2 linked regions of the Arabidopsis thaliana genome follow. The protein of the gene in region 1 purifies or fractionates together with the protein of each later gene. This does not show direct contact. Each region holds a gene or a part of one and is shown in the gene's direction. Other genes may lie near its edges.

Evidence for each region.
Region 2: the proteins of DL1C (region 1) and ADL6 fractionate together in Arabidopsis thaliana (co-fractionation; one large-scale study listed by BioGRID). This does not show direct contact.

The regions. Positions count from the first base shown.
Region 1 is NC_003070.9:5,102,366-5,117,698, reverse strand, and holds DL1C (DYNAMIN-like 1C), read left to right. Parts: upstream 1-5,952; 5' UTR 5,953-6,228; coding exon 6,229-6,360; intron 6,361-6,479; coding exon 6,480-6,543; intron 6,544-6,762; coding exon 6,763-6,870; intron 6,871-6,961; coding exon 6,962-7,063; intron 7,064-7,264; coding exon 7,265-7,315; intron 7,316-7,422; coding exon 7,423-7,484; intron 7,485-7,631; coding exon 7,632-7,722; intron 7,723-7,813; coding exon 7,814-7,878; intron 7,879-7,973; coding exon 7,974-8,168; intron 8,169-8,262; coding exon 8,263-8,382; intron 8,383-8,467; coding exon 8,468-8,538; intron 8,539-8,858; coding exon 8,859-9,084; intron 9,085-9,177; coding exon 9,178-9,228; intron 9,229-9,321; coding exon 9,322-9,562; intron 9,563-9,640; coding exon 9,641-9,780; intron 9,781-9,874; coding exon 9,875-10,000; 3' UTR 10,001-10,283; downstream 10,284-15,333. Other genes in the region: NUP155 (nucleoporin 155), read left to right, coding at 1-135, 222-547, 670-778; MAP70-4 (microtubule-associated proteins 70-4), read left to right, coding at 2,400-2,589, 2,695-2,780, 2,980-3,045, 3,127-3,297, 3,404-3,574, 3,681-3,836, 3,941-4,087, 4,196-4,267 and 3 more; AT1G14820 (Sec14p-like phosphatidylinositol transfer family protein), read left to right, coding at 10,906-10,977, 11,278-11,536, 11,775-11,811, 11,899-12,016, 12,102-12,212, 12,301-12,462; AT1G14810 (semialdehyde dehydrogenase family protein), read left to right, coding at 13,066-13,626, 13,739-13,825, 13,927-13,971, 14,067-14,162, 14,259-14,360, 14,698-14,852, 14,934-15,015; AT1G14800 (Nucleic acid-binding, OB-fold-like protein), read right to left, coding at 15,141-15,261. UniProt on the Arabidopsis thaliana protein: Microtubule-associated force-producing protein that is targeted to the growing edges of the cell plate during cytokinesis. Also plays a major role in plasma membrane maintenance during pollen maturation. Has a GTPase activity.
Region 2 is NC_003070.9:3,363,694-3,380,085, forward strand, and holds ADL6 (dynamin-like protein 6), read left to right. Parts: upstream 1-6,708; 5' UTR 6,709-7,080; coding exon 7,081-7,221; intron 7,222-7,504; coding exon 7,505-7,555; intron 7,556-7,651; coding exon 7,652-7,772; intron 7,773-7,901; coding exon 7,902-7,994; intron 7,995-8,338; coding exon 8,339-8,400; intron 8,401-8,570; coding exon 8,571-8,688; intron 8,689-8,834; coding exon 8,835-9,171; intron 9,172-9,276; coding exon 9,277-9,424; intron 9,425-9,750; coding exon 9,751-9,852; intron 9,853-9,932; coding exon 9,933-10,052; intron 10,053-10,319; coding exon 10,320-10,403; intron 10,404-10,487; coding exon 10,488-10,615; intron 10,616-10,718; coding exon 10,719-10,803; intron 10,804-10,920; coding exon 10,921-11,059; intron 11,060-11,284; coding exon 11,285-11,361; intron 11,362-11,431; coding exon 11,432-11,488; intron 11,489-11,770; coding exon 11,771-11,915; intron 11,916-12,002; coding exon 12,003-12,142; intron 12,143-12,481; coding exon 12,482-12,595; intron 12,596-12,708; and 7 more. Other genes in the region: GRP23 (glutamine-rich protein 23), read left to right, coding at 1-2,583; AT1G10280 (Core-2/I-branching beta-1,6-N-acetylglucosaminyltransferase family protein), read right to left, coding at 3,102-3,743, 4,450-5,046; AT1G10300 (Nucleolar GTP-binding protein), read left to right, coding at 14,449-15,555, 15,577-16,392. UniProt on the Arabidopsis thaliana protein: Microtubule-associated force-producing protein involved in clathrin-mediated vesicle trafficking from the trans-Golgi network to the central vacuole. Able to bind and hydrolyze GTP. Binds specifically to phosphatidylinositol 3-phosphate (PtdIns3P).

The DNA.
Region 1 (15,333 bases):
GACCAAGCTCTTTCACAAGGCGGAATACGTGAGGCCTGTGCAGTTCTTAAGAGAGTCGGATCTCATATATACCCTGGCGATGGAGTTGTTTTACCGCTGGATGTTTTATGCCTTCACCTTGAGAGAGCTGCACTTGTAAGCCCATCCTTCTAGTAGAGTTGTTGACTCATTTCATTGGGTTATGAACTGAATTTGAGTGCATCTTGTGGAAAATTTTACAGGAGAGATCAGAAAGGATTGAAAATGTTAGGGATGAAGACATAGCTAAAGCTCTTCTAGCCGCTTGCAAAGGCGCAGCTGAACCTGTGCTCAACGCTTATGACCGATTATTATCCAATGCAGCTGTTGTGCCATCCCCAAATCTAAGAATCCGCCTCCTTCGTTCAGTTCTAGTGGTACTCCGTGAATGGGCAATGTCTGTATTGTCAGACAGAATGGGGTCGAGTCCAACCAGGTCTTCTCTGATACTAGGCGGCTCGTTTGCGCTAGAGAACAAAGCTGCTCTTAACCAAGGGGCACGTGATAAGATTGCAAACGCTGCAAACAGGCAAGTTTGTCTCTGTCATTTTGTTTCGATTTGGTCTGCTTTTCTTGCCCACCCCTAATTTTTAAGTATACTTTAAAATCAAGAATCTCTGAAAACACGAAGATATGTCTTTTTACGAACAGGTATATGACAGAGGTTAGGAGACTAGCTCTGCCACCGAACAAGACGGATGGTGTATACGCAGGTTTTAAAGAACTTGACGAGTCTCTCTTAAGTCCATTCTCCTTCTGATCCATCACTTTTTTCTTTCTTTCTTAATATGCATCCAATTTCACTTAATAGGGTTTAGCGGCTTTCTTGTAACTTTAAATTGCTCTTTGGGGAAATTTCCCCTTCAAAGAGAATCAAAAATACGAAAAGAGAAAATAATTCTGTAGTTCCCTCTTATATTCGGGGCCTTGTCTGTCAATTCTATCTGTATTATGTAATTTCTTCATCGAGGTGTTGTTGTTGGCTAAATACTTCTTGTTTTCCTTTAGTTTTTCCTTTAAACTTAGTTAACTTATTGTATTTGCATGCTAAATTCTTACAAACTTGAAAATGATGTATCAGAAGTTTTTGAAAGAAAATCTTGGTTAAAAGTTATACAGTTGCACAATTGGGAGTTTTGACTTTGACTGATCTTGCTCTCGACGTTGGATTCCATTCCAAATTTTCGTAGAACCAAAGTAGAATTTTCTGGCAGCTTTTGTTTCCCCTTTTTTGGTTGATCTTTATCCTCCACTCGAGGAAAAAAACAACACAATAGAAAAATTAGCAACAAATTATTAGGTAGGAATAGGATAGATTAGTGTGTTTACGTCAAACTTAGGAATGATATTCACGAGTATGTAAAGTTTTGGTTGTTTCTGCATGTAAACTTTATGTAGATTTCTACCGTCTATCAGGAAATAGTTAAATTTGTTTAGATGAATAATGTAAAAGACGGTAGAAAACAAAAGAAACGTAACTACGTAAATGAAATGTGTTTAGATGAATAACGTAATACAATGAAAGTATGAAACTAAGATATAATATAATGTAAAGAAACAGCTCAAAATTTGAGATTAGTTGGTTTGACCGTGGTCCGGACTTAGGGACATGTTCGGCTCATTAAAGCTCAAAGATTCTTGTCTCCTCTTACATTGATTTCTTCACTATATACTACTAGTATCTTCAAGAAATGAATACAGTATCAAATTCAACGAAAATTAATCTATACAAATATATTATGCGTGATGATAAAAAAAAAAAAAGGGGAAAATAACATGAATGTACACCAAAGTTAAATCTGAAATTTGATTGAGAAAAAAAAAACCAGAATAGAAGTTGTGTCATTTTAGTTAGAATCATGAGACATGGTGTCTAGTGATTTTACATTTGTCGTACATGTTTGGACAAAATGGGATGGTCCCTAATAATTTGACAACACATACAAAATAAATACAGATGGTCCCTAATCCCTTCAATGTAAATTAACCATATTTCTACGAAACACCAGTGTTATGATAATTTCTTTTGGACAAGAATGTACTACTTCATTGCTAATTACCCAATTTCTCCTTATGAAACTAGTTAATAAAATCAAAGAGGAGCACACAATTAAACAGTAATTAACAGTGACGCTAATCAGTCTCTATCGTTGTCACTCTTTAACAACCATACCCTTAAACCTCATTTAAATCTCTCTATCTCTCTGCAAAACAAAACAAAACAAAAACAAGAAGTGTTCTCTTCTTCTCTTAAGCCCAAGCATTTGATGAGCTTTGTAGTGTTGTCCTCTTCGTTTGTTTTCTGATATATACCGATCTAATTTACAACTTTAGCATTTTGGTTCAATTTTGAATTGTGGTGAGGATTGAGATCGGAAGTAATGGAGGAAAGAGGATTTATGTCACCTTCATTGGCTATATCGGCTTCTTATCGAGAAGGAGGAAGCAAAGGCATGTCACGACGGAGGTCAATGAGACCAAGCTTTGACGCGGATAACGAGTTCATGAACCTTCTCCATGGCTCAGATCCCGTGAGAATTGAGTTAAATCGGCTGGAGAATGAAGTCAGAGGTACGAGAAATGTGATTTTGTTGATGATTTGACAATGGAATTTGAGATTGGTTTTTGGATTAGTACTTTGCTTCTTGTGTTTGAAACAATGACTTGGTTATACAGATAAGGATAGGGAATTATCTGAAGGACAAGCTGAAATCAAAGCTTTGAGGTTGTCTGAACGACAAAGAGAGAAGGCTGTTGAAGAGGTTTATGCCCTTACACTTTAAGCTTCCATTACATAAACAAAGTATTTAGCTTGAGTGGCATTGTGATATTCCTATTTATAGAATATGTAGTCATGTAGCCTGAGCTTGGTTTTACTTGTTTGGAATTATGTCATATAAAGTTTCTCTCTTTACACTCTCTGTGTACTGACTTCTCTGCTATTTTATTTGAGTGCTGAAGCTCACTGAAGAGTTGGGAAAGATGGCGGAAAAACTCAAACTTATTGAAAATCTTCTTGAGAGTAAAGTATGCTTCTAATATCTCCTTTGTTCTTTGATCGCTTATTTATATTGATTCTATATATAATGATGTTGTATGTTGTCACAGAACCTTGAAATCAAGAAGATAAATGAAGAAAAGAAGGCTTCCATGGCAGCTCAGTTTGCAGCAGAAGCTTCTCTTCGTAGGGTTCATGCTGCTCAAAAGGATGATGACATGCCTCCAATTGAAGCTATTCTTGCCCCTTTAGAAGCTGAACTGAAACTTTCGAGACAAGAAGTATTTTCCTTCCTTTGAACCAGAATTACCTTTGTATAGCTCGATTCAACAACTTACGGGACATTTAACAGCTTTCTCATATGGGTTTACATGTTTTGATTGGTAGATTGCTAAACTTCAAGACGACAATAAATCATTGGACCGCCTAACCAAATCAAAGGAAGCAGCTTTGCTTGACGCTGAAAGGACAGTTCAGTCTGCATTGGCAAAGGCTTCAATGGTTGATGATCTCCAGAATAAGAACCAAGAATTGATGAAACAGATTGAAATTTGTCAGGTATGTCTATATCATTTCTTTTACATATTGGAACACCAGAATAGGGTATCTCTTCCTTTTCTTACCACTGTGGTGGCCTTATTTGTTGATACATTGGTTAAAATAGGAAGAGAATAGAATTATAGACAAGATGCACAGACAGAAGGTTGCAGAAGTTGAAAAGCTTATGCAGAGTGTTCGGGAATTAGAAGAAGCTGTTCTTGCTGGTGGTGCAGCCGCAAACGCAGTGAGAGATTACCAAAGGAAATTCCAAGAAATGAATGTATATTTCATATGCTTCTATAGTACCTCAATAACTTACTGTTTTTCTTGTTAGTGTTTTGGTCTCGTACTGATCGTAATTGTGGTGTTTTGTGTTTTCCTTAGGAAGAGAGGAAAATCCTTGAACGGGAATTGGCCCGTGCGAAGGTAAATGCAAACAGAGTTGCTACTGTTGTAGCTAACGAATGGAAAGATTCTAATGACAAAGTGATGCCTGTAAGGCAGTGGCTTGAAGAACGTAGATTTTTGCAGGTCATTGCTGATACATATTAATATTTAAATTCTCTTGCTGCTTCAAATTGTGATTCATATTCACGGAGATTAACTTATACTATTGCCACCACCGTTATGTTTGGACAGGGAGAAATGCAACAACTACGCGACAAACTTGCCATAGCTGACCGAGCTGCAAAATCTGAAGCTCAGCTGAAGGTAGAATCATAGCTGCGGGACACCATCTTATTTTTTTTAATCTCCTAACTGAGGAATTGCTGCTTTTACTTATTTTTAGGAGAAATTTTTACTGCGGCTTAGAGTGTTAGAAGAGAGTTTAAAGGGGCCTACGAGCAGCAGCAGCAGAGGCACATCTGTTGGTAGAAGTTCGAGCAACGGGCCTACTCGAAGACAATCCCTTGGTGGAGCTGAAACAAGTCCAAAAATTACATCAAATGGCTCGCTGATTAAGAGAACACCAAGTTCTCAGTTGAGATCATTGACTGCTAGTGCAAGCACTGTATTGAAGCATGCGAAAGGAACATCAAGATCATTTGATGGGGGCACCAGATCATTGGATAGAAGCAAAGTGCTAATAAATGGACCGAGATCGAATTTTCCTTTGAACCACAAGTCTTCTGAAGGAACTAGCAGAGGCGAATCGCCTAGCTCAATAAAAGGGGAAGAAGAATCAGCTGACAAGGCAACAAATAATGATAGCGTCCCAGGTGTCTTGTACGATCTGCTGCAGAAAGAGGTCATAACATTAAGAAAAGCGGCGCATGAAAAAGATCAGAGCCTGAGAGACAAGGACGAAGCGATTGAGGTTTGCTAGTGTTTGGCCTTTTTTCCTGTTCTTTGCCGCCTTTATATGAAATGTTGTATAATATAAGTCTAAAGATATGGGTTGTGTATATTTAGATGTTGGCCAAGAAGGTTGAAACATTAACAAAGGCGATGGACGTTGAGGCAAAGAAGATGCGAAGAGAAGTAGCTGTAATGGGGAAAGAAGTTGCTGCAATGCGTGTTGTTGATAAAGGACAACAAGATAGTAAGACCAGACGTCTCTCGGTCTCAAAGGGAAACACAGCTCAGCTACTTTCTGGAAGGTATTAATGTATTATCATATCAACTACAATAAGCTTTATTATTACCTTTAGATGTCATTATTGTTTATGTATTTTATCATTTGGTAGAGTGTCTGGACGAATCGGGATGACGAGGAGCACACAGTGACAAACTGATTCGATCAATCACTGGTTGGTCTCTGTGGCTTGCCTTAAGGTTCTTGTACCAAATTGAGAGAAGGGATTCAAAAGCCGAAAGAGATAATCGTGTAAAGTACCTGATTGATTCGATGTGTGTTTCTCTAAAGCATTCCAACATTCAAGGTAAAGGGAGACATTGACTTCACTTAGCTGATATATTTCTTACTCTGTTGCGTTATGTATAGTAGTACTGCAGTAGTAGAGGTAGGGTTGTTTTGTTCAACATTTTAAGCTTTTTTACTCTCTTGTTTTGTGTGTGTCACTCTCTCCTCTTAGTTAATTTTCTTATTAACCTCGATTATATTGGTAGCCTAATTTTTTATCTTTAAAAGAACTCTTCTTGGTGTTCAAAAAAAGAACTGGTAAAACCCAAAAAAGCTATATACAAAAAGAGAGAGAGATAGAGTTAATGAACACCACATGAGTTATAAGAACACCATCATTGAGATTTGAGAAGGATATTTACAACATTTGTAGTCAGACTTTATTGGGAAAAAAGTACATTTGTAATGTAATCAGGTCTTAATGATAATTAGTAGTTTTGACTTTTGAGTAAAAAAGAAAGAAAAAAAGAACATAACCACATGAATTGAACCGGTTCCGTATCATTGACCGGTACGCGTTTAGCGACGTGGGATTTGATATATTTTCACTTTCGGTCCAAAAGTATTATATATTTGAGCAAGTAGTCCTACTTTTTTGGTTTGAAATTGTTTTTCCCATTACCGTTCTCTGCTCCATTGGGTTCTTTCCTCTTTTCTCCCAGATTCATCAATCCCTCCTGCTACCGCGAGAGAGTAACAACTCACCGGACGTTTCAAATCCATCCTCCGATAACTATATTCGTTTCGTTAGATCTAGATCTGAGCGTCGGTGAGAGATTTTCTGGATCTGTGATACGTTCCAGGAAACATGGCGACGATGAAAAGTTTGATAGGTCTGATAAACAAAATCCAGAGGGCGTGTACTGTCCTCGGAGATCATGGCGGTGAAGGAATGTCGCTTTGGGAAGCTCTCCCAACCGTCGCTGTCGTTGGTGGCCAGGTTTGATCTCTTTCTATTGAATATACACATTTCTACGTTAAGATCCGATCTCACTTCTCGCCTCTTCAATCTCCACGTTTCTGATTTATCATTTTTGTTTGGTTGATATTGTGGATCAGAGTTCCGGAAAATCTTCAGTTCTAGAAAGTGTTGTGGGAAGAGATTTTCTGCCTCGTGGATCTGGTAATTTTACCTCTCGTTAAGCAATTTTGTCTAGTGTCTTCGATGTTTGGAATTGAAATTAGGTTTTCGGAATTTCGTGCTCTTATTAGTTGCTTCGATTTCAAACAATTTAGCGAAGCTCTGTGATCTTGAGAGCATTACATGAACATTTTGACTACTTCGAAAAACATGAGACTGAAGAAGGAGACCATCTAAATTGATACCATTTGATTTTATCAGGTATCGTTACAAGGAGGCCATTGGTGTTGCAACTTCATAAGACTGAAGACGGGACAACTGAGTACGCTGAGTTTCTTCATGCTCCTAAGAAGAGATTTGCTGATTTTGGTAGTTTGATTGAATCTTTCACGCTAATTGCTGGAAACAGTGAAATCGACAAAGGCATGTCGGGCTAATCTAAGTGTTATTCTCTTTTCAGCTGCTGTGCGGAAAGAAATTGAGGATGAAACTGATCGTATTACTGGGAAGTCAAAACAAATCTCAAACATTCCAATTCAGCTGAGCATATATTCTCCTAATGGTTTGTGCTTAAGACCACATTTCCTGTTATGCATTCCTATTGTAGTTAGTTCAGAAACCAACACCGTAAATTTCCTATATTATTGATAGTTTGATACCAGCTGTAATGAGATAACGAGTAGTACAATTAGATTTGAAGATTCCAATTTTGCTAACCTCTTCCATGTGACTTTGATTTCTCACTCTACTCTTTTCTCTACAGTTGTTAATCTGACGCTCATAGATCTTCCGGGTTTGACCAAGGTCGCTGTAGGTAAGAGTTTACTATTTTTTATCCAGTAGCTTAGCTTGTGCTTAAACTAGTTACTGATATGAATCTTGTGCTTAAACTAGTCACTGATATGAATATTATTCGTGTAGATGGACAACCGGAAAGTATTGTCCAAGACATTGAAAATATGGTCCGGTCTTATGTTGAAAAGGTCAGTCTTGCTCTAAGCTATTACTGAGACGGTTTCGGCAATCTTTTCAACTTTTCCAACCAAGTTGAACAGAAGAATGCATTTGATCATCATCACTCACTATAATGTCAACTCTGGAAGCTTATCCATAAAATCTTTTAACTGCAGCCAAATTGCATCATATTGGCTATTTCTCCAGCAAATCAAGATATTGCTACCTCAGATGCTATAAAACTTGCTAGAGAAGTTGATCCTACAGGTACGACCTAAATGTAGTTTCCTAATAACTGGTAAGTAGTGACTTTTTACACTCCACAACATTTTCTTAACCTTCTAATATATTTCTGTAGGCGAAAGGACTTTTGGTGTTGCAACCAAGCTTGATATCATGGATAAAGGAACAGATTGTCTAGATGTAAGCGTCTTTCTTGATTTCTGCACCTTGGGGTGTCAACTAATTCTGTTACTTGTTTAATATATTGTGACACCTCCTCTACCTATTTGATGAAGGTTCTTGAGGGAAGGTCATACCGTTTGCAACATCCCTGGGTTGGAATTGTGAATCGTTCACAAGCTGATATTAATAAGAGAGTCGATATGATTGCTGCACGTAGAAAAGAGCAAGAATATTTTGAAACAAGCCCTGAATACGGGCACTTAGCCAGTAGAATGGGATCAGAATATCTAGCAAAACTCTTGTCTCAGGTACCCTTTGGATTTACTTGCACAGATCTCGTTTAAATTAAAGCTTGAATGCTTAGCTTTGACTTTCTTCCTTCTTTGTTTTCCTCTCTATTAGCACTTAGAGACTGTTATCAGGCAGAAAATCCCCAGTATTGTTGCTTTGATCAACAAAAGCATCGATGAGATAAATGCAGAACTTGATAGGATTGGGAGACCCATTGCAGTAGATTCAGGAGTAAGATTTTAAACCATTAAGTAATTGGAATTCAGAGTTGCATCAGAATCGTATGGTTAGTCACTCACTAAATATATGATTTCAGGCCCAACTTTACACAATTTTGGAACTCTGCCGGGCATTTGATCGTGTCTTTAAGGAGCACTTGGATGGAGGGTAAGTGATTTAGTTATTCTACTTCTTATTCGTAAAGCTTATAACTTCTTGTTGGTGTACTATTACATTGCGACTGTGATGATCAACTTGGAGTCTATGAATTTTTTTAAGAGATAGTGTCGTTTCCAGAGTAATGTGCTGCTCTATAATGAATTTTGCTTACCTTCTAGTCAGTTTCCAGACTAAGGATGTGCAGTTTTAGTAAAAAAATTACATCAATGACCTTTTCATAGATGTTTGCCAGAAAATGCTTCACATAATTTCACAATGTACGTCCGGTAAAGTTGGTCTTCTGACAGTCATTATGTTGTTTGTATCAGACGACCTGGTGGAGACCGAATTTATGGAGTTTTCGACCATCAATTACCAGCAGCCTTAAAGAAACTTCCCTTTGATCGACATCTGTCTACCAAAAATGTTCAGAAGGTTGTTTCAGAAGCAGATGGTTATCAGCCGCATCTTATTGCTCCTGAACAAGGATACAGAAGGCTCATTGATGGATCCATAAGCTATTTCAAAGGACCAGCTGAAGCCACTGTCGATGCAGTATGCTTCCAAAATTTATTAGATTGCATTACTTTTGAGACTTAAGTTTTAGTAAATTGACTATATTCTTGATTGCTGTTTGATATTTCCTAGGTGCATTTCGTATTGAAGGAGCTGGTCAGAAAGTCAATTTCAGAAACAGAGGTAAGAACTGACAAGATGCCTTTGGTTTTGAGAACTCTTCCTAGCTCTTTACGCTCTGTTTTAGTCCTAACATACCATTGCTGTTTTTTTCAGGAACTGAAGCGTTTCCCGACTCTAGCAAGCGATATAGCAGCTGCTGCAAATGAAGCTCTTGAAAGATTCAGAGACGAAAGCAGGAAAACGGTTTTGCGTCTGGTGGATATGGAATCTAGCTACCTCACGGTTGAGTTCTTCAGGAAACTCCATCTTGAACCCGAGAAAGAGAAACCAAACCCAAGGAATGCCCCAGCACCAAACGCAGACCCCTACTCCGATAATCACTTCAGAAAGATCGGTACGTGTCTCTCTCGCCTCCCTTTACTTAGAAATGATACATTATCAAGTCTTTGTTTGTTGACTTTGGATAATTCAGGATCCAACGTGAGTGCATACATAAACATGGTCTGCGACACATTGAGAAACTCTCTTCCCAAAGCTGTCGTTTACTGCCAAGTTAGAGAAGCTAAGAGATCGCTTCTCAACTTCTTCTACGCTCAAGTTGGCAGGAAAGAGGTAAACTATATTATTACCCTTTGGATTATTTTGTTACCTTGTAGAAAATGCCATGCCCAAATCGAGAATAAATTTAAGAAAAATGATGGTGCAGAAGGAGAAGCTGGGTGCTATGTTGGACGAAGACCCACAGCTGATGGAACGAAGAGGAACCTTAGCTAAACGGCTAGAGCTTTACAAACAAGCTAGAGACGACATCGATGCAGTGGCTTGGAAGTAAGGGGGTTTGCTAAGACATATTCTTTATATTGTTAATTTCTTTGTTCGTGTGGGCACACTGCATTATAATAGATATGTTTGGAGTTCTAACTTCCAGTCTACACAAACATACACGCGACTACTCATGTTTTCTTGGGTCGCTAATTTCTATCACAACTTTCCCACTTTTTTTTGGTGTGTATCTTCGATTCTTGAATACTGGTTTTTAGAACAGTTAAGACATATTTTGAAGTCGCACTCTTTACATTAGACAAAAAGGAAGCTAATCTTTGATTTTTATTCAATTGGTCTCCACTTGTGCCATTACTGTATTTGGATCCAGTTCAAGTTTAAAAACAAATAGATGACAAAGAAGCTAATCTTTCTTGAAAATTTAATGTACATCTCATGTAGATAGAACAACTTATTAACCTAAAGGACTTTTCTTCTGTCACAAACAATAAAAATCGTTAGAACTGAATTTCCAATGCTCAATTAAGAACAAGCAGCTAAATGTATAACCGTTAACAAAGCCTGTTTCACATGGTTGATCAGAAAAATGATTAAAAGAACTTTAAGTAAGCCTTAAGATTCGGGATTTAGGAGTTAAAAAGCAATGTAATCATCACAGCTGTTTTAAATCGTCAAAGTAGTAGAAACAAAAGTCAAAGAGAGAGCTTCAACTTCCAGCTGCCCATTAATTGCAGCGAGTTGGGGAAAGGCTTATTGAGTTATTTCTATCCACTTACCGTAGAGACAAGTACCCAATACTTTGTCTGTTTCTTCTTCCTGTGGCTTCTGGGTCTTTGTCAACATCAAAGCTCTTTACTTTTTCAACTTACTTTATCGTGCGTCTGTACGGACCACAAAAGGCTCTCTCTTTATTTCTCTGTGAGATTTTTTTAGGATCTGAGAGAGCCAAAGATCATGGAGGAAAGCCAAGAACTTGCCTTGACCCAGTTGAGAAAATCGGTCGAGAAACTCTCTTCTTCTACTGAGGTAATCTAATTCGACGCTTTAGTTTCATTACAGTTTACAAAGCTTGCATCTTTTGGCCGTTTCATGAGTTTCACTGACAATGTCTCGTTAGAAAATGAGAAATATCTGTCATTTGATTTTGATGGGTTTTATATGGGCTACACTGTTAAAACTCTGTCTCCATTCTCGTCATAGTGGTTTGTCTGATTAGGTTTGAGCCTCCCATCAGAAACCCTAACAGTAGAGACAGTTTAGTAAAAGTGAATCCATAATCAGAAAATCTCATCAATGGTTTTTGTTGTTGTTGTTTCCTCTGAAAAGGGATATGACAAACCAACATTGATGAGGTTCCTGGTGGCAAGATCAATGGACCCAGTCAAGGCAGCAAAGATGTTTGTAGATTGGCAAAAATGGAGAGCCTCCATGGTTCCTCCAACTGGATTCATCCCTGAGTCAGAAGTGCAGGATGAATTGGAATTCAGAAAGGTCTGTCTTCAGGGTCCGACCAAATCCGGACACCCATTGGTGCTTGTCATAACCTCTAAGCATTTTGCTTCTAAGGATCCAGCTAACTTCAAGAGTAATCACCTCTCACTTGCTTCTGACCTTTACTTTCGTTGGAAATAATCTGTCCCTTGACTTTCAGTGACTTTTGTATTCATAGAACTGATCAGCTTCTTTCCTGGTTCTCTAATTATTGAGTAGTTTCATTTGACTTCAAATGAATGAAGTTTTTTGAGTCCATCTATGTGTTTTCCTTGAGTTGATTCTTGCGATAATTATCTATGAACTAATCTTTTATCTGTTTGATGTTGCAGAGTTTGTTGTTTATGCGCTAGACAAAACAATCGCAAGGTGTTTACACATTATTGAAACCAAAACACTTCAATAATCTTCCGGTTAGTTGGTTGTGAGACAAGCTTTTTGGTTTTTATGTTTCAGTGGCAACAATGGCAAAGAAGTTGGAGGTGAGAAATTAGTAGCCGTTATTGATCTGGCAAACATTACATACAAGAACCTTGATGCTCGTGGATTGATCACTGGCTTTCAATTCTTACAAGTAAGCATCTCCCTTCTTCCTGAAACAATATAGTTATCACACAAAAAGAAGTCCTGTCTATTAAATTTGGAAAATGTTTCTCTAGTCTTACTACCCGGAACGCCTTGCAAAATGCTACATTTTGCATATGCCCGGATTCTTCGTGACCGTTTGGAAATTCGTCTGCCGTTTTCTAGAGAAAGCAACTCAGGAAAAGGTTTGATCTTTAATCTCCTCTTGATGTATCTATCTCTAATGGTTCTTGAGCAACGAATCACATAAATTATGATTTTGCTGTTGCATAGATTGTGATAGTTACGGATGGAGAAGAACAGAGAAAATTCGAGGAGGAGATCGGAGCAGATGCTTTACCGGAAGAGTACGGTGGCCGAGCTAAGCTCACAGCAATCCAAGATGTTCTTCTTCCTCAGGCTGCTCCAGTAACTCTAACAAACAATAATGTTTAGCTCTTTATTTTTGGAAGCATTAACCTGAATATTTGTAATGGTCAGAACATAACTAGTGGTACATCTCTAAATTTCCAAAAGAAGCAATGAAAACATGAGAAAGTAATGCGAATATATTCAATCTGGTGACTGAGTGCTCGCTCTTGCTTATCTTTTCTTATTCACATCATAAGTAAGCTGTAAAGCAGGATTGATCAACAGACCAGACTAACTTCTAGAAACTTAATGTCCTCTTGTTGTACGTGTAAGATTCCAAAGTTAGCTATAGATGTCTTTGAGCTAAAAACCAGAATCACGAGCTCTTAAATATGATCCCTAAGCCTTGTTATATGACAAAAGACTTTTCAACAACTTAATATTTCCAAAAGAAGAAATGATGAAACACATGAGAAAGTTGTGTGAATATACTCAATCTGGTGAATGAGCAGTTTCAAACATCATGCTGTTTCTGTATCTTAAATTAAACAATCTTGCTGTTTTGAATTTTGAAGATGTTGGTCAATTCACTAACACACTTTAAAGTCCCAAGCTTTTTTCTATCAGCCGCCTCCAAAATCTCTCTATCTCTCTGTCTCTCACTTCTTCTTCCTCACGGCGGCGACAATGGCGACGTTCACTCATCAAACCCCACAAACCCATTTCCTCTCTCGCCTTCCTCTCAGAGCTAAACCTAGACACTTCTCCGCAAGAGTCAAAATGTCTCTCCAAGAATCTGCGCCTTCACTCGCCGTCGTTGGCGTTACCGGAGCCGTCGGACAAGAATTCCTCTCCGTCTTATCCGATCGAGACTTCCCTTATAGCTCCATCAAGATGCTTGCATCGAAACGCTCCGCAGGGAAGCGTGTTGCCTTCGATGGCCATGAATACACGGTGGAGGAGCTCACGGCGGATAGCTTCAACGGTGTAGACATAGCTTTGTTCAGTGCTGGTGGATCCATAAGCAAAGAGTTTGGTCCTCTGGCGGCGGAGAAAGGAACCATTGTTGTTGATAATAGCTCGGCTTTTAGAATGGTTGATGGAGTTCCGCTTGTGATTCCTGAAGTGAATCCAGAAGCAATGAAAGGGATCAAAGTTGGAATGGGCAAAGGGGCTTTGATTGCAAACCCTAATTGCTCCACCATTATCTGTTTGATGGCTGTTACGCCTCTTCATCATCACGCAAAGGTTCGATTTTTATTCTGAAATCTGCTTAGTCCAAAATTTTGAAGGGTAGTTAGAGAATCAATGGAAGCTTTAGACTTTAGTGCTCTGAATAATGTTTGATTGGCTATAATAGGTGAAGAGAATGGTGGTTAGTACATATCAAGCAGCTAGTGGTGCTGGTGCTGCAGCTATGGAAGAGCTTGTTCAGCAGACTCGTGAGGTTTTGTTTCTATTTCAGCCTTCTTTGATTGAATTGTTTAATGATTGTGCTGAGTTGTGATTCTGCTTCTTCGTCTTCTTTGCATTGGTGTGTTTTCTTAGGTTTTAGAGGGTAAACCTCCGACTTGTAACATCTTCGGGCAGCAGGTGAGTGCTTAATTTGCTTATAGTTTGTATTTCGAATGTGCTGATTATGAAATCCCTTTTTGAGTAATGTGATGGTTTTGTATGTTGTTCTGCAGTATGCATTTAACTTGTTTTCACATAATGCTCCTATTCTTGACAACGGTTACAACGAAGAGGAAATGAAACTTGTGAAGGAGACAAGGAAGATCTGGGTGAGTGGTTACTTAAGTGCTATTTTGTGTTCATTTCACTTTGATCTTTTGTTCAAAAATTTTAGATATCTCACACCAATTTCTTGCCCTTCACAGAATGACACAGAAGTAAAAGTAACAGCAACGTGTATACGTGTTCCAGTTATGCGTGCTCATGCAGAGAGTGTGAATCTTCAGTTTGAGAATCCTCTTGATGAGGTAATAACACACGTCGAACCCGATTTCTACTGATTCTGTGTTGTTGTGTTACCTTATGATTTCACTCACTGATATGACAATTTGAATCATAATTTGAAGTTTTAAACCACATTCTATGGTTTTAATTTAACTCAAGCCATTGAAAAATGTGGAGCAGCATGTAATCAGCATAAGTAGGCTTGGATAGTTCTTGATGCACTTGCAGAGTTAAACCCTGAAGTTGTTCTTTGGACTTGCTCTGGTAGCATGTATTGTGATTCTTGTTGCGCAATTAAAAGAATCTTATGATCAAGTTCTTATTCAGGTTATAACGGTTTTTCTTACTGTATCATAACAGAACACAGCAAGGGAGATACTGAAGAAAGCACCTGGAGTTTATATAATAGATGACCGTGCTTCAAATACTTTCCCTACTCCACTCGATGTCTCTAACAAAGACGATGTAGCGGTTGGTAGGATAAGGCGAGACGTGTCTCAAGATGGCAATTTCGGGTAAAGTCTCACTCTTTTCTACTGAATTTGAAGCAAATGTCTTTGCGATATGCCTAAAAGGATATAACTTTGTGAATTCAGGCTGGACATATTCGTTTGTGGAGACCAAATACGCAAAGGAGCTGCTCTGAATGCTGTTCAGATCGCTGAGATGCTTCTCTGAATTTGAACCCGCTCTCACTTTGCTTCTTATGAAATTCTTGACAAAGAGATCACTGTATTATTAGATTTGAGCCAAGAATTTGTCTCATTTTTTGTTCTGTGAGTTTTCTATTTTGACCAATTTTGTTACTTTGATTCATAAAGTTGTCTCTTAAATCTGAACTCATCATGCACACGCTTGAACCTCTTGGCAATTTTCCGGTTCGAATCTGTACCGACTTGGTTGATCTCACCGAAGACAACCGGGCTCCACAATTATTTGACACACTGAAGACTGAACCAGTGGGGGCCCACTTTATTGATAGTTATAGCAAATATT
Region 2 (16,392 bases), 1.7 Mb from region 1:
AAATACCCAAACCTTAATCCCATTCCAAATGATCCTTCCCAATTCCAGATTCCTCAGAATCACACCCCTCCAATTCCCTATCCACCCATCCCGCATCGTACCATGGCCTTCTCTTCAGCCGAAGAAGCCGCTGCTGAGCGCCGCCGCCGTAAACGTCGTCTCCGAATTGAACCTCCTCTCCACGCTCTCCGTCGCGATCCTTCAGCTCCTCCTCCAAAACGTGATCCCAACGCGCCACGGCTTCCGGATTCAACTTCCGCTCTCGTCGGCCAAAGGCTTAACCTTCACAACAGAGTCCAATCACTGATCAGAGCATCAGATCTCGACGCTGCATCAAAGCTCGCTCGCCAGTCTGTGTTTTCCAATACTCGACCTACTGTCTTCACCTGTAACGCCATCATCGCCGCTATGTACCGAGCCAAGCGTTACAGTGAATCGATTTCTCTATTTCAGTATTTCTTTAAGCAGTCTAACATCGTCCCCAATGTAGTCTCATACAATCAGATCATCAACGCTCATTGTGATGAAGGGAATGTCGACGAAGCCCTTGAAGTGTACAGACACATATTGGCTAATGCTCCTTTTGCTCCATCCTCAGTTACTTATAGACATTTGACCAAAGGTTTGGTTCAAGCTGGAAGGATCGGAGATGCTGCGAGTTTATTAAGGGAGATGTTGAGCAAAGGTCAAGCTGCGGATTCCACGGTGTACAACAATCTGATTAGGGGATATTTGGACCTTGGTGATTTCGATAAGGCTGTTGAGTTCTTTGATGAATTGAAGTCTAAGTGTACTGTTTATGATGGGATTGTGAATGCTACCTTTATGGAGTACTGGTTTGAGAAAGGGAACGATAAGGAAGCTATGGAGTCTTACAGGTCTTTGTTAGATAAGAAATTCAGAATGCATCCACCGACTGGTAATGTACTTTTGGAAGTGTTTCTTAAGTTTGGTAAGAAGGATGAAGCTTGGGCTTTGTTTAATGAGATGTTGGATAATCACGCTCCTCCGAATATCCTTTCGGTGAATTCGGATACGGTTGGTATAATGGTCAATGAATGTTTCAAGATGGGAGAGTTTAGTGAAGCTATTAATACATTCAAGAAGGTCGGAAGTAAGGTCACCTCCAAACCGTTTGTGATGGATTATTTAGGTTACTGTAACATAGTAACAAGATTCTGTGAACAAGGGATGTTAACAGAAGCTGAAAGGTTCTTTGCTGAAGGTGTATCTAGATCTTTGCCTGCTGATGCTCCAAGTCATAGAGCAATGATCGATGCTTATCTCAAGGCAGAGAGAATTGACGATGCTGTCAAGATGTTGGACAGGATGGTTGATGTGAATCTACGGGTGGTTGCTGATTTCGGTGCAAGAGTCTTTGGTGAGCTGATTAAGAATGGTAAGCTCACGGAATCTGCAGAAGTTTTGACTAAGATGGGAGAGAGGGAACCAAAACCAGATCCTTCCATTTATGATGTGGTGGTTAGAGGTCTTTGTGATGGTGATGCACTTGACCAAGCCAAGGACATTGTTGGTGAGATGATTAGACATAATGTTGGGGTTACTACTGTGCTGCGGGAATTCATCATTGAGGTTTTTGAGAAGGCAGGACGTCGTGAGGAGATTGAGAAAATTTTGAACTCTGTTGCCCGGCCGGTTAGAAACGCTGGGCAGTCTGGTAACACTCCACCTAGGGTACCCGCAGTGTTTGGAACCACACCTGCAGCTCCGCAGCAGCCTAGAGACAGGGCCCCATGGACGAGCCAAGGAGTGGTGCATTCCAATTCAGGTTGGGCCAATGGAACTGCAGGTCAAACAGCAGGAGGAGCTTACAAGGCTAATAATGGCCAGAATCCCTCTTGGTCCAACACGTCTGATAACCAGCAGCAACAATCGTGGTCGAATCAGACGGCAGGGCAACAGCCACCGTCATGGTCGAGACAGGCACCGGGATATCAACAGCAGCAATCTTGGTCTCAGCAATCGGGGTGGTCAAGTCCTTCAGGTCATCAGCAATCATGGACTAATCAGACAGCTGGCCAGCAGCAACCTTGGGCTAATCAGACGCCTGGTCAGCAGCAACAGTGGGCTAATCAAACGCCTGGTCAGCAGCAACAATTGGCTAATCAGACGCCTGGCCAGCAGCAACAGTGGGCTAATCAAACGCCTGGCCAGCAGCAACAATGGGCTAATCAGAATAATGGTCACCAGCAACCGTGGGCTAATCAGAACACTGGTCATCAGCAATCATGGGCTAATCAGACTCCTAGCCAGCAGCAACCATGGGCTAATCAGACAACCGGCCAGCAACAAGGGTGGGGAAATCAGACAACCGGCCAGCAACAGCAGTGGGCTAACCAGACAGCTGGCCAGCAGTCAGGGTGGACAGCGCAGCAACAGTGGTCTAATCAGACAGCTAGCCATCAGCAGTCACAGTGGTTAAATCCCGTGCCAGGAGAGGTGGCTAATCAGACACCGTGGTCAAACTCTGTGGACAGTCATCTTCCTCAACAACAGGAGCCAGGGCCTTCCCATGAGTGCCAAGAGACACAAGAAAAAAAGGTAGTGGAGTTGAGGAACTAGTTTGACAAACTCGCTATTTCTTCTGCACCACCATTCTCCTCATAGTTAATTTGGCTTTTGCTTTGTGGTTCCTATTTTTTGCAAACTCTAGTAGTTATTTCTTTAGGATCAACATCATAATCTACTACGTTCGTTGCCCTTGCTTCTTCACTTGTATGTATGGTTCTTTTGAAGCCAATGGCTTCTAAAGAGTAATGGAATTCAAAATCAGTAATTCGATCAAAACATTAAATTCCATTTCTTCCAAAAAGTGATCAAAATGAATAATATATTCGTAAATCTACAACTAGATTAGCTCTGCAGGTCGGCAGAAGCAAAACTCTTACATACAAAAGGCTTGACCATTACGATCATCTCTATAAAACCCCAAATAATGAAGAGATTATAACCAAAAGAATAAAACTATATAAGAAAGAAAAAGAGTCCTATGTTATGTATATTATATATCTCGTAGAAGAATCTCATCTCATCCCTATAAAAGAAGAAAGAAGAGGAGAAATGAATCAGTTTGTTTTTTCTCAAAACCCCAGGACAGTAGAGCTCAAATTCATAAGAGGAGCTAAGGCAGAAGGAGAGAACTTGCGAGCAAAAAGGAAGCATAACGAAGTTGGCTCTTCATTGTAAAGACAATCCGTCTCGTTTTTCCTTATAGATTGGAGAAACCCTTCTGTGATATTAGCTGCAGCATATGTAGCTGGATGGGGACCGCCTATGGACCAATCAACCCATGTCACGCTTCTATTTGCGTTCATTGAACCGTGAAACATGTTCAAGAAAGTAGGGATGTAATGCTCGTCTGGGTAACAAGCTGGTCTGCAGAATTGTTTGAACAATGAGTAGTATTTCGAGTCTGAGATGATGTAGATGGCGATTTTACGGTTTACTTCAAACCACTGAGACCCTTTGCGCCAGTGATGGAGTTTGATATCCGGGAGCATCTTGCGGCTATAACGGCCACGGCCATAACGTGTTGGCTCATCATAAGAGTCCACAAAACTGTAAGCAGAGTTTATTAGGTAAGTGTAGACAGTTGAGAAGTTGTAAACTGGGACACAGCTCTCTGAGAGAAGAACAAAACGCTCATTTGAGAAGTCCAGCAATGCATTGGCTAGAAGACGCTTCTCTGCGTCTGTCAATAGTGGGGATCCCCATTCAACTCTCTAAAAAATTCAAGTATAAAAAACCCATCAGAACCAGACAGAATTCTTTAGATTTTTTTATCAAGTAGATCTAGCATACAATGACACAGACCATCCATGATTCATCAGATGACCAAGTTGAAGAACCAAACAAAGCGTTATGCAATTACCAGGATCATTGTGACATACAGAGAAAATTAAAGGGATTACTACAATAAAAGGTGTAAAAATCAACAAGAGAAGCTTATATAATGTGTCTATGAATTAGTCTTTTATAGTTTCCTAGTTCACAGCTAAGCAGATCACAGCTAAGCAGATCACCTCTATAATAAAAGCTGTTCCCGATCATTAAACTAAAACCAGCTATGTTCCAAATAATCACATAATAGCAAAATTAGTAACAAAGCTTCATCTAATACACAACCTTGAAACAGATGTAGCTGACAGTGGAAGAAACAATTAAAAGGTTCAAATCCTATAAACAATCTCAAATAGTCACGCGCCAGTGTAACTTGGATTCCATCATGCCGATTAGATCTACATGTTGTTCCTCTAGAGAACTAGATCTCCATGATCCAGAATGACTATATTTCTTATCTACTTATCTATTACTCTGTTCTTGTATACAAGATTAAGTCACTGGTGAAACTAAGTATTTGTTTTGTTCTGATCCACTGAAGAACACAAGCAAGACACAAAAAGTTCACTGTCCTGCATCAAAACGTACCTGGCTGGGGATCTGGCGGTCGTAAAAGGGAGAATCACGAGAGACATTCATGTCGTATCCAGGAGGCGTATGAACATAAACGGACAAGTACTTTTCATTGCCTTTAAAAAACTTCTCCCAAAGCGGAAGCATAGGTAAAGGCCCTCTCGTCAGAAACATAAACGCCACTTTCGGAACCCTATCGTACGGATACTCTTCCTTCACCGGAACCATCGAAGCTCTCCAGAACAACTCATCATCAGTCATTCCATGACTCAGATTCTCTGGCCGAACAAACCCATCAATGCTCCAACAATCTCGAACCTTTGGTTTCTCCGCCTTGACTCCTCCGTCGTCGCTCTCGTTGTCGTCGTTACCTGTGCAGTCTCGGTGGATGATTGTGCAATTGGAGTAATCAGGAGTCGAAAAAGGAATCGATTGGAGGTTAGTGGTTGATGAGAACATCCTCGGCAAAGAATTGAAGTAGCGATCGATGTGAGAACTTGCGGCGAGACCGATGATGATTCCAGCCATGAAAATTAGCAAAAACGACAGCGTTTGCGCCAGCTTTAGTAACCCTATGTGTTTTTCTCCTTCCTCTTTCCCTCCTCTCGCCATTGTTCGAGAAACTCAAAACTTGTCTACCCAAACAACAACACAGTGATGATCTCTGTTCCCCAAAAATAAAGTTTCAGGGAAACATTCTTATGATTCAAAGAGAATCTGATTGTTTCAAGCACAAATCCATTGCATTCAATCTCCTCGAGAAATTTCCTAAATTTGTAACATATAATTAAATCCAAGGATCAAACGAAATCGAAAAAGGTAAGTGGATAAATGGAAATTGGATCTGTGGAAATCTTCGAGGAAAGTGAGAAACGATGACTGAAACAGATCAGAAACTGAATTTCATGCAGAGAGGAAGAAGAAGAAGAAGAAACATAAACAAATCTGGTCTTTTGTTTCTTCCAGTTGAAATCTATGTGTGTGTGTGGTTGATTTTGATCTTATATATATAAAAGAACAAAATTAATTGGAATGTTATGCTTAATTTAATTAGATTAATTGAGTTTAAAACTCCACGTCGAAAAGCATAACGAGTTCAAAGTCCGCAGATCTTGCCAGATGGGAATAATCTATTGGTTTTAAGTTATTGGGCCGGAGGGCCCACGTTTAATTGTGACGTGGTTTAGTGCTCGTCAACTCTTTGGTCCGACATTTCACTTTTTTTTTTATAGAAATAATTCTAGATATCCAGTAGTCAAACTTATTGATTATCTAATTTCTATATCCTTACTATTTTTAAAAAAATTACTTTTAACATTTCTAGAATTTTTCGATTTTTTCTGTACTTATTAACTATTAGTAAAATTTATTGATGCTTCTTTTGGTTATGTTATAGTATTGAGACAATGTATTGTATTCTAATTTTGATTTTTTTTTTCCTTTTTAATGATTTGTAGATTTTGTTTTTTCATTATTATATTTGAAAAAATATCTTCTTATATCTTAATCACCAGAAAATCTAAAACCGATGGCTATACTAATTTCCGGAATATATGAAATGTTTATTTTTCTATTAAGGATCCAAAGCAGCTAATTAAGATTAAAAACTTGGGAAGAACTAGTATCCCAAACAAACAATATGATATCCAGATGTCCAAAAGGAAAAAGAAATGGTATCAAAAGAACCAAGAAATGTGCCTAGAAATTTCATATAGTTAGCTTGGAAATTTCTGATTTTTATGTCCAATGTTTATTTATTTTTTCCTTATAATTATACTTGTCATACATCACAAAGAATTGTCAACATTGCCAAACTAGTCCTAAGATGTTGGAAGGTATGATGATAGACAACAGTTCTAAAGAAGGGAAGATGAGATTCAGGCAACAAAAAACACATATAGTTCAAAAAAATTAGGTTGGTAGGATCAATTATTCAAAAAACATACACCAAATAGATTTTAGTAGGGGTTGTTTGTCCAAAAAAAAACTATAATAGTTTACGAAAATAGTTACACCTTGTGAATAGATTTTTTGTTTGCCTTCCCTTGAGGTAAATTATGTCGCGAGAACTATATGAACAACAACGAGATCCACAACAACATTTGATTACATTTTTATTTGAACCTTCACATTGATTTAGTAATGTGGGATTCCAACATCATCTAATGTTATATGAATGGATCTAATAGATGATAAATTGTTAAATGAACTGATAATTTTTTTTTATTTTTTTATGTGTATTTCACATCACATTGTTTTTTTTTTTTTTTTTTTAAGTAAGAAAAAGAAGAAGCACTTGAGACCGATCAGAAAAAAATTAGAAAGATATGATTTTTGTAAGTCTTTTGAAATTTGAATCTTGTCCCGTGTAATTGTGAAATCTTACGTACGTCCTCTTTATGACCTCGTCTTCGCTCATTTCTGCCTTCCCTTACGAAATCCCCAACGAAAAATCTTAGCTTAACACCATCGCGACCGGATTCCAAATTCCGGCCCATCGTCTCACCGGGAAAGACCCCGCCTATTGCCGCCGATTTCGGTTCCGGTCTGCTCAGATCTAATCGAGTGGCTTCCTTCTTCCTCCAGATCTCTTCACTTTGAATCGGTTACTCGATCTCGATTCGCGGAGGGCTTTTGCTAGTCGCGATGGAGGCGATCGATGAGTTGTCTCAGCTCTCAGATTCGATGAAGCAGGCGGCGTCTCTCCTCGCCGACGAAGATCCCGACGAAACCTCTTCTTCCAAGCGCCCTGCCACTTTCCTCAACGTCGTTGCCTTGGGAAATGTGGTGAGTTCCTCGCTCTCACTCCACGCTCCTCGATTTTCCTCTCTTTAGGCTCGTGCTGGTTTTATTCTGTGTTCGAGTGTATGTTGGATTGCCATATCGTGGATCTTCTGGATCTAGATTAGGTTTTTATCGAATTTTGCTAGGACACACTCATCGTTTATAGCTAGTTTTGTTGGGATTCTCTTTATTAGTGGATATATGGTTACATGAGGAGCGACTCGTGCCGGAGAAGGCTGATGTATTTTGTTATTTGTTACTTATCTCTTTTTGCATACTGAACCAGGGAGCTGGAAAGTCTGCAGTTCTAAACAGTCTAATTGGGCATCCAGTGCTGGTAAGTTGTACATTGAGTCTATGGTTATTATTGGCTTACTCCTTTTCTTATACTAATACTGACCTCTGTTGTGTCTGCTACACTTACTATACACAGCCGACGGGTGAGAATGGTGCTACACGAGCTCCTATAATAATTGAATTGAGCAGGGAGAGTTCTTTGAGCAGCAAGGCAATTATCTTGCAAATCGACAATAAATCTCAACAAGTTTCTGCAAGTAAGTCTCTATCTATGAACATATGCAATTTAGCAATGCTATGTGAGGCTCTTTCTGCATTTATGATAAAAAAATTTCGATCAGTCTTCTCATAATATCTCCATTGTGTTCTACATGGGTATATTTTAGGTGCTTTGAGACATTCTCTGCAAGATAGACTTAGCAAAGGAGCCTCAGGGAAGAATCGTGATGAAATAAACTTAAAACTTCGTACCAGCACAGGTAAGCCCCTTTTTACTTGCACAATCATAAGTGGCAAGCCTATATCTACTCTTCAAATAGCACATCCTTAGCTAACCTAAGTTGGGTGTATGAATTTATCTTTGATACCCGTGAACTGGTCAGCTGTAATATCTTGCTATCCTTATATACTATCTAGTACACTAGTTTAGAGCTTCTAGCTTTACTTTGGTGGGTATCAGATTAAATATCTAACGGAGCTTTAACATAAACAGTACACACTCTTTTGAACATGAGTTATGACATATGACATATGACCGACAGTTTCGTAGTATTAAATTTTCTTTGACCATCATAACCTGTTACGTTTACCCTTTACATTGCAGCTCCACCATTGAAATTAGTTGATCTGCCTGGACTGGACCAGAGAATTGTGGACGAGTCAATGGTGAGGCTTGGAACTACTTAATGCCATTGTCATATCCTTAACTTGCCTGACAACCACGAAACAAAAGATTTTGACTATTTTTATCGGTTTCCTACTGAAGTGATAATATAGATTCATTATCATGTTTATCCTTTTGAAATTGTTGTTTGTTTCTTGGGTCTCTTTGCAAGATTGCTGAATACGCGCAACACAATGATGCCATACTGCTGGTTATAGTGCCTGCTAGCCAGGCATCTGAAATTTCATCATCCCGAGCCCTGAAGATTGCAAAGGAGTATGATCCAGAGAGTGAGTACATCTGTATTTCCGATCTGTCTTATCTTAATATTGTTTATTATTTGTATACCTGATAAGAACTGTTGATTTACCTACCTATTATCACTTCAGTTTGCTTAAAATACTCATTAGCTAACATCACTCCTCCCTACTTATAGGTACTAGGACAATAGGCATTATTGGAAAAATTGACCAGGCAGCAGAGAACTCGAAAGCCCTTGCAGCTGTTCAGGCTCTTCTTTCAAATCAAGGACCTCCAAAAACAACTGACATTCCATGGGTTGCTGTTATTGGCCAATCCGTTTCAATTGCGTCAGCACAGTCTGGAAGTGGTGAGAACTCCTTAGAAACTGCTTGGCGTGCTGAGAGTGAAAGTCTTAAGTCCATTTTGACTGGGGCTCCACAAAGCAAGCTTGGCAGAATTGCGTTGGTGGATACCCTTGCTAGCCAGATTCGTAGCAGAATGAAGCTCAGGCTTCCAAGTGTCCTGTCTGGGTATTGCTTCTCTCCATATATGTGCTTTCTTCATGATTTTTATTATGGTGTTGGCATATGACATTGGTTGCTTGAACGCATATGGCTTTCAAATTCTTTGTACAGGCTCCAGGGTAAGTCTCAAATAGTGCAGGATGAGCTAGCGAGGCTTGGTGAACAACTAGTTAACAGTGCTGAAGGTACAAGGGCTATAGCTTTGGAGCTTTGCCGTGAGTTTGAAGACAAGTTTCTTCTGCACTTGGCTGGTGGTGAAGTAAGTACATTCTTACAAAAGTTAACTAGATTTAGTCGAAAATTCAAGAATATAGTGAGAGAGAAGAACTCTTCAAATATTAGCAATCAGCCATTTCAGATTTGGTACTAGTGTAGTGGAAAGTCTCTTGCTAGCCTACGCTTGGTAAGAGCACATTATATTGTTGGGAATCTCATGAATCTGATAGTGGATGTTTATAATATGTGTATAAGCCAACTGAGTGTTTGATATAGAGTTTTTGTACTTGTCTGTGTTCAGTTTATGGGCTGAAGTCCCTTTTGGAGCTTGGCAAATGTTTTTCTCAAAACTTTTTGATTCTTGTTCAGGGAAGTGGTTGGAAAGTTGTTGCAAGTTTTGAAGGAAATTTCCCCAACCGTATCAAGCAGCTTCCATTGGATAGACATTTTGACCTGAACAATGTTAAAAGGGTGGGTGTCTTCTTCTGTCCTAAGTTTCTGCACGAGACAAGTTTTGAGACTTGATTTGTCAAAATATCTTTGATTTTCAGGTTGTTTTGGAGGCAGATGGTTATCAACCTTATCTTATATCTCCAGAGAAAGGGTTGAGATCGTTGATAAAGATTGTCCTTGAGTTGGCTAAAGACCCGGCACGCCTTTGTGTTGATGAGGTGTGCTTGTTTACATGTTTTTTTAGGTACATGCAGTAGGATTGAATTTTAGAAATTTACTGCATTGTGAACTGGCTATGGCTTGTCTCACTTTAATTCTTCGAACTGTTATTTAGAGTTCTGTCAAGTTTTCTGGTTTATAAGCCTTAGTAAGTTAATATCCCTTACCGTAGATGTAGCTATTTTTTGGTTCCTACTTTAAAACTCATGCATCCAGCTTCTGTCTTATTTACGTGTTGAGCTAACATGGTCTTAACTTTTGATTAGGTTCACCGAGTTCTTGTTGACATAGTTTCAGCTTCTGCAAATGCTACACCTGGACTTGGGAGATATCCTCCTTTCAAGCGAGAGGTAATAATGATTTTTTGGTGCTTTATTCAGTAATATTTTATCATTTCGGTAACAGTTATTCCTTTCTGACTAATCATCAACCAGGTTGTAGCTATAGCAAGTGCAGCACTTGATGGTTTCAAGAATGAAGCCAAGAAAATGGTGGTTGCACTAGTTGATATGGAACGCGCTTTTGTACCACCTCAACATTTTATCCGTCTTGTGCAAAGGAGGTATTTTGGCTTGTCTTTCTTTGCAATTTTTGTTTTTATTTTCAATGGTTCATGACTGAAAATTATTTCTCTTTCTGACGATGCACTGTATTGACTCCATCAGAATGGAAAGACAACGTCGCGAGGAAGAGCTGAAAGGGCGATCTTCTAAGAAGGGACAAGATGCAGAGCAGTCCCTTTTAAGCAGGGTGTGTGTTCATTCTGTATCAATTTGGATATACGTAGTGAAAAATGTTTTTTTTTTTTTTTTATCGTTTTACATGAAAATATATAATGTGGAAATTCTCTACATATATGTTTATCAGGCTACTAGTCCTCAGCCAGATGGGCCAACAGCTGGTGGTAGCTTAAAATCAATGAAAGACAAACCTAGTCCGCAAGATAAAGAGACGCCGGAGGTCTCTGGTCTGAAAACTGCTGGACCTGAGGGGGAGATAACAGCAGGTTGTTATTCTAATATACATCTACCCAGTTACTGTCTAAAAAGTTTCATTCTGCTTTTTCACTCCCGATTTGCTTTCCTTACGTTGCATGATTTTATTGCTGCAAAGCTTTGCTCTTAGTCCAAGTGCATGATTTCTTCATGTCTTTTTCTTCTTTATCACTTAAAACTAACTTGACAAAACTAACTTCCAAGGTAGATAACAAATACTTACTCTTTTCATTTAGGGTACTTAATGAAGAAAAGTGCAAAAACAAATGGGTGGAGTAGGCGATGGTTTGTTCTGAATGAGAAAACTGGAAAGGTCAGCATTTTGAAACGTATATTCTTCAGTTGTTGAGAACTTACTGACTTTACTGTTTACCTTTTTCTAGCTTGGCTATACCAAAAAGCAAGAAGAAAGAAACTTTCGGGGCACGATAACTTTGGAGGTACCATTCTCTTCCTATGCTTTATTTTCTGCCAAAGGTGAACTATAATTAGATATGACATGGAAAAAAGAATTAGAGAAGAATATAGTTCGTATTCACCTTGTTATTTTCTCCCACACTGTTTCCTTCTTGGAGAGTGACAATTACTTGTGTATTTTGAAGCTTATGCTTCAAATATTTAATAGTTCTGTTATTATCGATGAGAAATTTGGATACTCTATAGATAACATTTTTTCCATGTTTTTCTAATTATACTTCCTCCAACTTTATTAATCCACTCAGGAATGCACTATTGAAGAAATCCCCGAGGACGAAGTAGAAAAGTCAAAGAGCTCGAAGGACAAGAAGGCAAATGGACCTGATTCAAAAGGACCAGGCCTTGTGTTTAAAATAACCTGCAAGGTTCCCTATAAGACTGTACTCAAAGGTACATAAATCAATCATTATAAGAATTCAAACTTCTTAATCTTCTATTCGCACTTTTATGAGTTTTCCTCAAACTATTATGTTGCAGCTCACAATGCCCTTGTGCTTAAGGCTGAGAGTGTAGTCGACAAGAACGAGTGGATTAATAAGTTGCAAAAGGTTATCCAGGCTCGTGGAGGCCAAGTGGGCAGTGTTTCCATGAGGCAGAGTCTTTCAGAAGGTTCACTTGTGAGTCACTCATGGGCAGCTTTTCTTACATTTCCTCTTCCTTAAATCTATGTTAGATACGTTCACTAGTCTTATGGATTACTTATTATCACTATGAAGAAAGTTTGAAACTTCACTTCGGAAGGTTTGAAACTGTTGGAAGAGCAAACAAAGCTATTTATGTTTTATTGAACATTGTCGAATTTTTATTATTGAAACATTTTTCCTATAGAAGGCTCAGTTTATGGGGTATGCATGATACTACTTTTAAACTTGACATAAGTTATGTTTGACATTTAAGGTTTTTATTGTTTATAATATTTTCTGAGACTTACGTTTTTTTCCTTGTCTGTATTTCAGGATAAGATGGTTAGGAAACCCATCGATCCAGAAGAGGAGCTCCGGTGGATGTCCCAAGAAGTACGGGGTTACGTTGAAGCTGTTCTTAACAGCCTTGCAGCCAATGTTCCAAAGGTGAACTATCCTTATGCAAAAGCTCGAAAGCTCTAAATTTTCTTGTCCATCTCTTTTCTCTTACAGAGATTCCTCGGTCATGCTACTAAGCGATGTGAATTGACCATGAACAGGCTGTTGTTCTTTGTCAAGTAGAGAAAGCAAAGGAAGACATGCTGAATCAACTCTACAGTTCTATAAGGTTCAATATCTTTTCGTTCCCTGTGCCTTGTTTCGTTTCAGTTGTGGTGTGCTTACTTGTGCTCTCCTGTATTTGATCTTTAGTGCAATAGGCAATGAAAGGATTGAGTCATTGATACAAGAGGATCAGAATGTCAAAAGACGAAGAGAGCGTTACCAGAAACAATCCTCTCTTCTTTCTAAACTCACGAGGCAGCTTAGCATTCACGACAACCGAGCAGCAGCTGCTTCAAGTTATTCGGACAACAGTGGCACTGGTAAATTCATCCGCCTTATTATATTCGAAACATGATAACAGTTCTTCTGCTTGCTTGGTTTGGATTGATACGGTTTCTTAAATACCATCTGAAAGATCTTCAATGAAACTTAGGTTTATAAATCTTTTAATCTTGGTATCACTTGTCCTACAGAGAGTAGCCCAAGAGCAAGTGGAGGTTCTTCAGGGGACGACTGGATGAATGCCTTCAACTCCGCTGCTAATGGACCCTCAGACTCATTGTCAAAGTACGGTTCCGGTGGTCACAGCCGCCGTTACAGTGACCCTGCGCAGAACGGAGATGCAGCATCACCAGGGTCTGGTAGCAACCGCCGCACCACCCCCAATCGGTTGCCACCAGCACCACCGCCTACAGGTTCAGCTTATAGGTATTAGAACCTGAAGAAAAAACCCTGGAAGCGCATTGTGTCCCGTTTTCTGGGACTACGTTACTCTTATTTTTTCTAGTTTAAGACAGTGATTGGATGATTGTACTACTGTTTTTTGGTCTTTGTAGATAGATATTATCACACACATGTGTTGGCAGCTAAAAAAGAGTTTGGTCTCATGAGTCAAATGTCTGTTTGAATTTTTGTTTTATTTCTTATTCAACTTTTCTTGGCATCCATTTTTTGAGCACGCTATGCTGTAGTAGTTATAGAATGAATTTTGTATCTGATATTCTTATGAATCTGAACTGTTTGGGTAAATTACTAAATTTATAAAATCGAAGTTTCATAGACTACTTCCATTGTTTAAGCCTTGAGAGAATACTTTCAGGGCTAGTTGATGAAATCACTAAATTTTGGGGTTTATTGGTAAAGTTGTCGTATGCGGTAGTACGTAGTTGCAAATGCACCGCAAGTATTTTCTTTATTCAGAAAGCCTAAAATTAGCCAAACGGCATCGGATTATCCCTCGAACCAAATTAGTAACATACAATTTCTTATAAGTAATTTTAACTTTGTTAAACACCAGGGTTTAAATGAGATTTTCCTGAACATATGGTGTTTTTGTTAAATTTTAATAGATGTTCTTGCAATAGTTTTGAAATTTGAGGGTTATTTTTCATTTTCGCGAAACTTGGGAAAGGAACCCTTCTAGCCCTAATTAACGTGTCTGCTTTAAATTAGGGCAGACAAATTAACGTTCTCTGTCTCTGTCTGTTATAGGCTACTCCACCGTCTCGATCTCATTCACCTTTTAGTAAGGTGAGCTATCTCTTGTCTTCATTGACGAAGGTTTGTGTGGATCTCGAAGTTAGATTGATAAACCTAACTTGTTCTTGTTATATAGTTATGCACGGCAGCTAGAATTTGTCGAGCTATAATAGCATTGTTATAAGATTAGCAATCGAAATTGATTTAGTTAACGTTTTAAGATTAGGAATCCAAGTTTTAGAATCTGTTTGGACCAAATGACCATCGTCTCTACTTGTTGTCCTTTTGGTCTCTCTAATGTCACTAAGTGTATCAATTTCGTGCAGATTAAAGAAGCAAAAACAATGGTGAAATATAATTTCAAGAAGATAACAGTTGTGCCAAACGGAAAACAGTTTGTTGATATCGTTCTTTCCCGCACTCAGCGGCAGACACCAACTGTTGTCCACAAGGGTGACAGGATTTGCAAACTCCGTAGCTTCTACATGCGGAAAGTGAAGTTCACAGAATCAAACTTTAACGAGAAGCTCTCTGCCATTATCGACGAGTTTCCTCGCCTCAAGGAAATTCAACCCTTCTATGAAGATCTTCTTCATGTGCTTTACAATAAAGATCACTACAAGCTCGCTCTTGGTCAAGTCAATACTGCGAAGAACAAGATCAGCAAAATCGCCATGGATTATGTGAAGCTATTGAAGCATGGTGATTCTCTGTACCGATGCAAGTGCTTAAAAGTGGCTGCTCTTGGGCGTATGTGTACTGTTATGAAAGGTATTGGTCCTAGTTTGGCTTATCTTGAACAGGTTAGGCAACACATTGCAAGGCTTCCTTCGATTGATCCAAACACTCGAACTCTCTTGATCTGTGGATGTCCTAATGTGGGAAAGAGTTCTTTTATGAACAAAGTTACAAGAGCTGACGTAGCTGTTCAGCCATATGCTTTCACAACAAAGTCACTCTTTCTTGGTCATACTGATTACAAGTGTTTGAGGTATCAGGTGATTGATACACCGGGGCTTTTGGATAGGGAAATTGAAGACCGTAATATCATTGAATTGTGTAGCATCACCGCGTTGGCTCATATCCGAGCTGCTGTTTTGTTCTTTCTTGATATTTCGGGTTCTTGTGGTTACACCATTGCTCAGCAGGCTTCTCTTTTTCACAACATAAAGTCTGTGTTCAAGAACAAACCGTTGGTGATTGTCTGCAACAAGACTGATTTGATGCCTATGGAGAACTTATCTGAAGAAGATAGGAAACTTATTGAAGAGATGAAAGATGAAGCTATGAAGACTGAAATGGGAGCAAGTGAAGAAGCAGTGATTTTGGAGATGAGTACTTTGACTGAAGAAGGTGTGATGTCAGTGAGGAATGCTGCTTGACAGAGGCTGTTAGATCAGAGGGTAGCGGCGAAGATGAAATCGAAAAAGATCGGTGATCACTTGAACAGGTTCCATGTGGCGATGCCGAAGAGTCGTGATGACCAAGAAAGGCTCCCTTGTATACCTCAGGTAGCTGGTGAAAAGGAGAAGCGAAAGACCGAGAAGGATTTGGAAGATGAAAATGGTGGAGCTGGGGTTTATTCTGCTAGTCTAAAGAAGAACTACATTTTGGCTAAAGAAGAATGGAAGGATGATATAATACCTGAGATCTGTGACTGTCATAATGTTGCTGATTTTGTTGATTCAGACATCTTGAATAGGCTTGAGGAATTGACAAGTGAAGAAAGTCTTAGGAAGGCAGAGGAAGAAGAAGTTGGTTTTGAGATTGAAGGCGAAGAACTTACAGAGAAGGAGAAGAATGATTTGGCTGCTATTCGTAAGAAGAAAGCTTTGCTTATTGAAGAGAGTAGACTTAAGAAGAGCAATGCACAAAACAGAGCAGCTGTTCCAAGAAAGTTTGACAAGGATAAGAAGTTTACAAGGAAGAGAATGGGTAGAGAGTTATCATCTCTTGGTCTTGATCCGTCTTCTGCTTTGAACCGTGCAAGAAGCAAGTCTAGAGGCAGAAAGAGGGAAAGGTATGATGATTTGAGTAACGATGCAATGGATGTGGATGTGAATGATGATGAGCAACATAAGAAGAAGAAGATGTGTCTGAGATCTAAATCAAGATCTTTGTCAAGATCAAGATCAGTGTCAAGGCCACCACATGAGGTTGTACCTGGTGAAGGCTTCAAAGATTCTTCACAGAAGATTAAG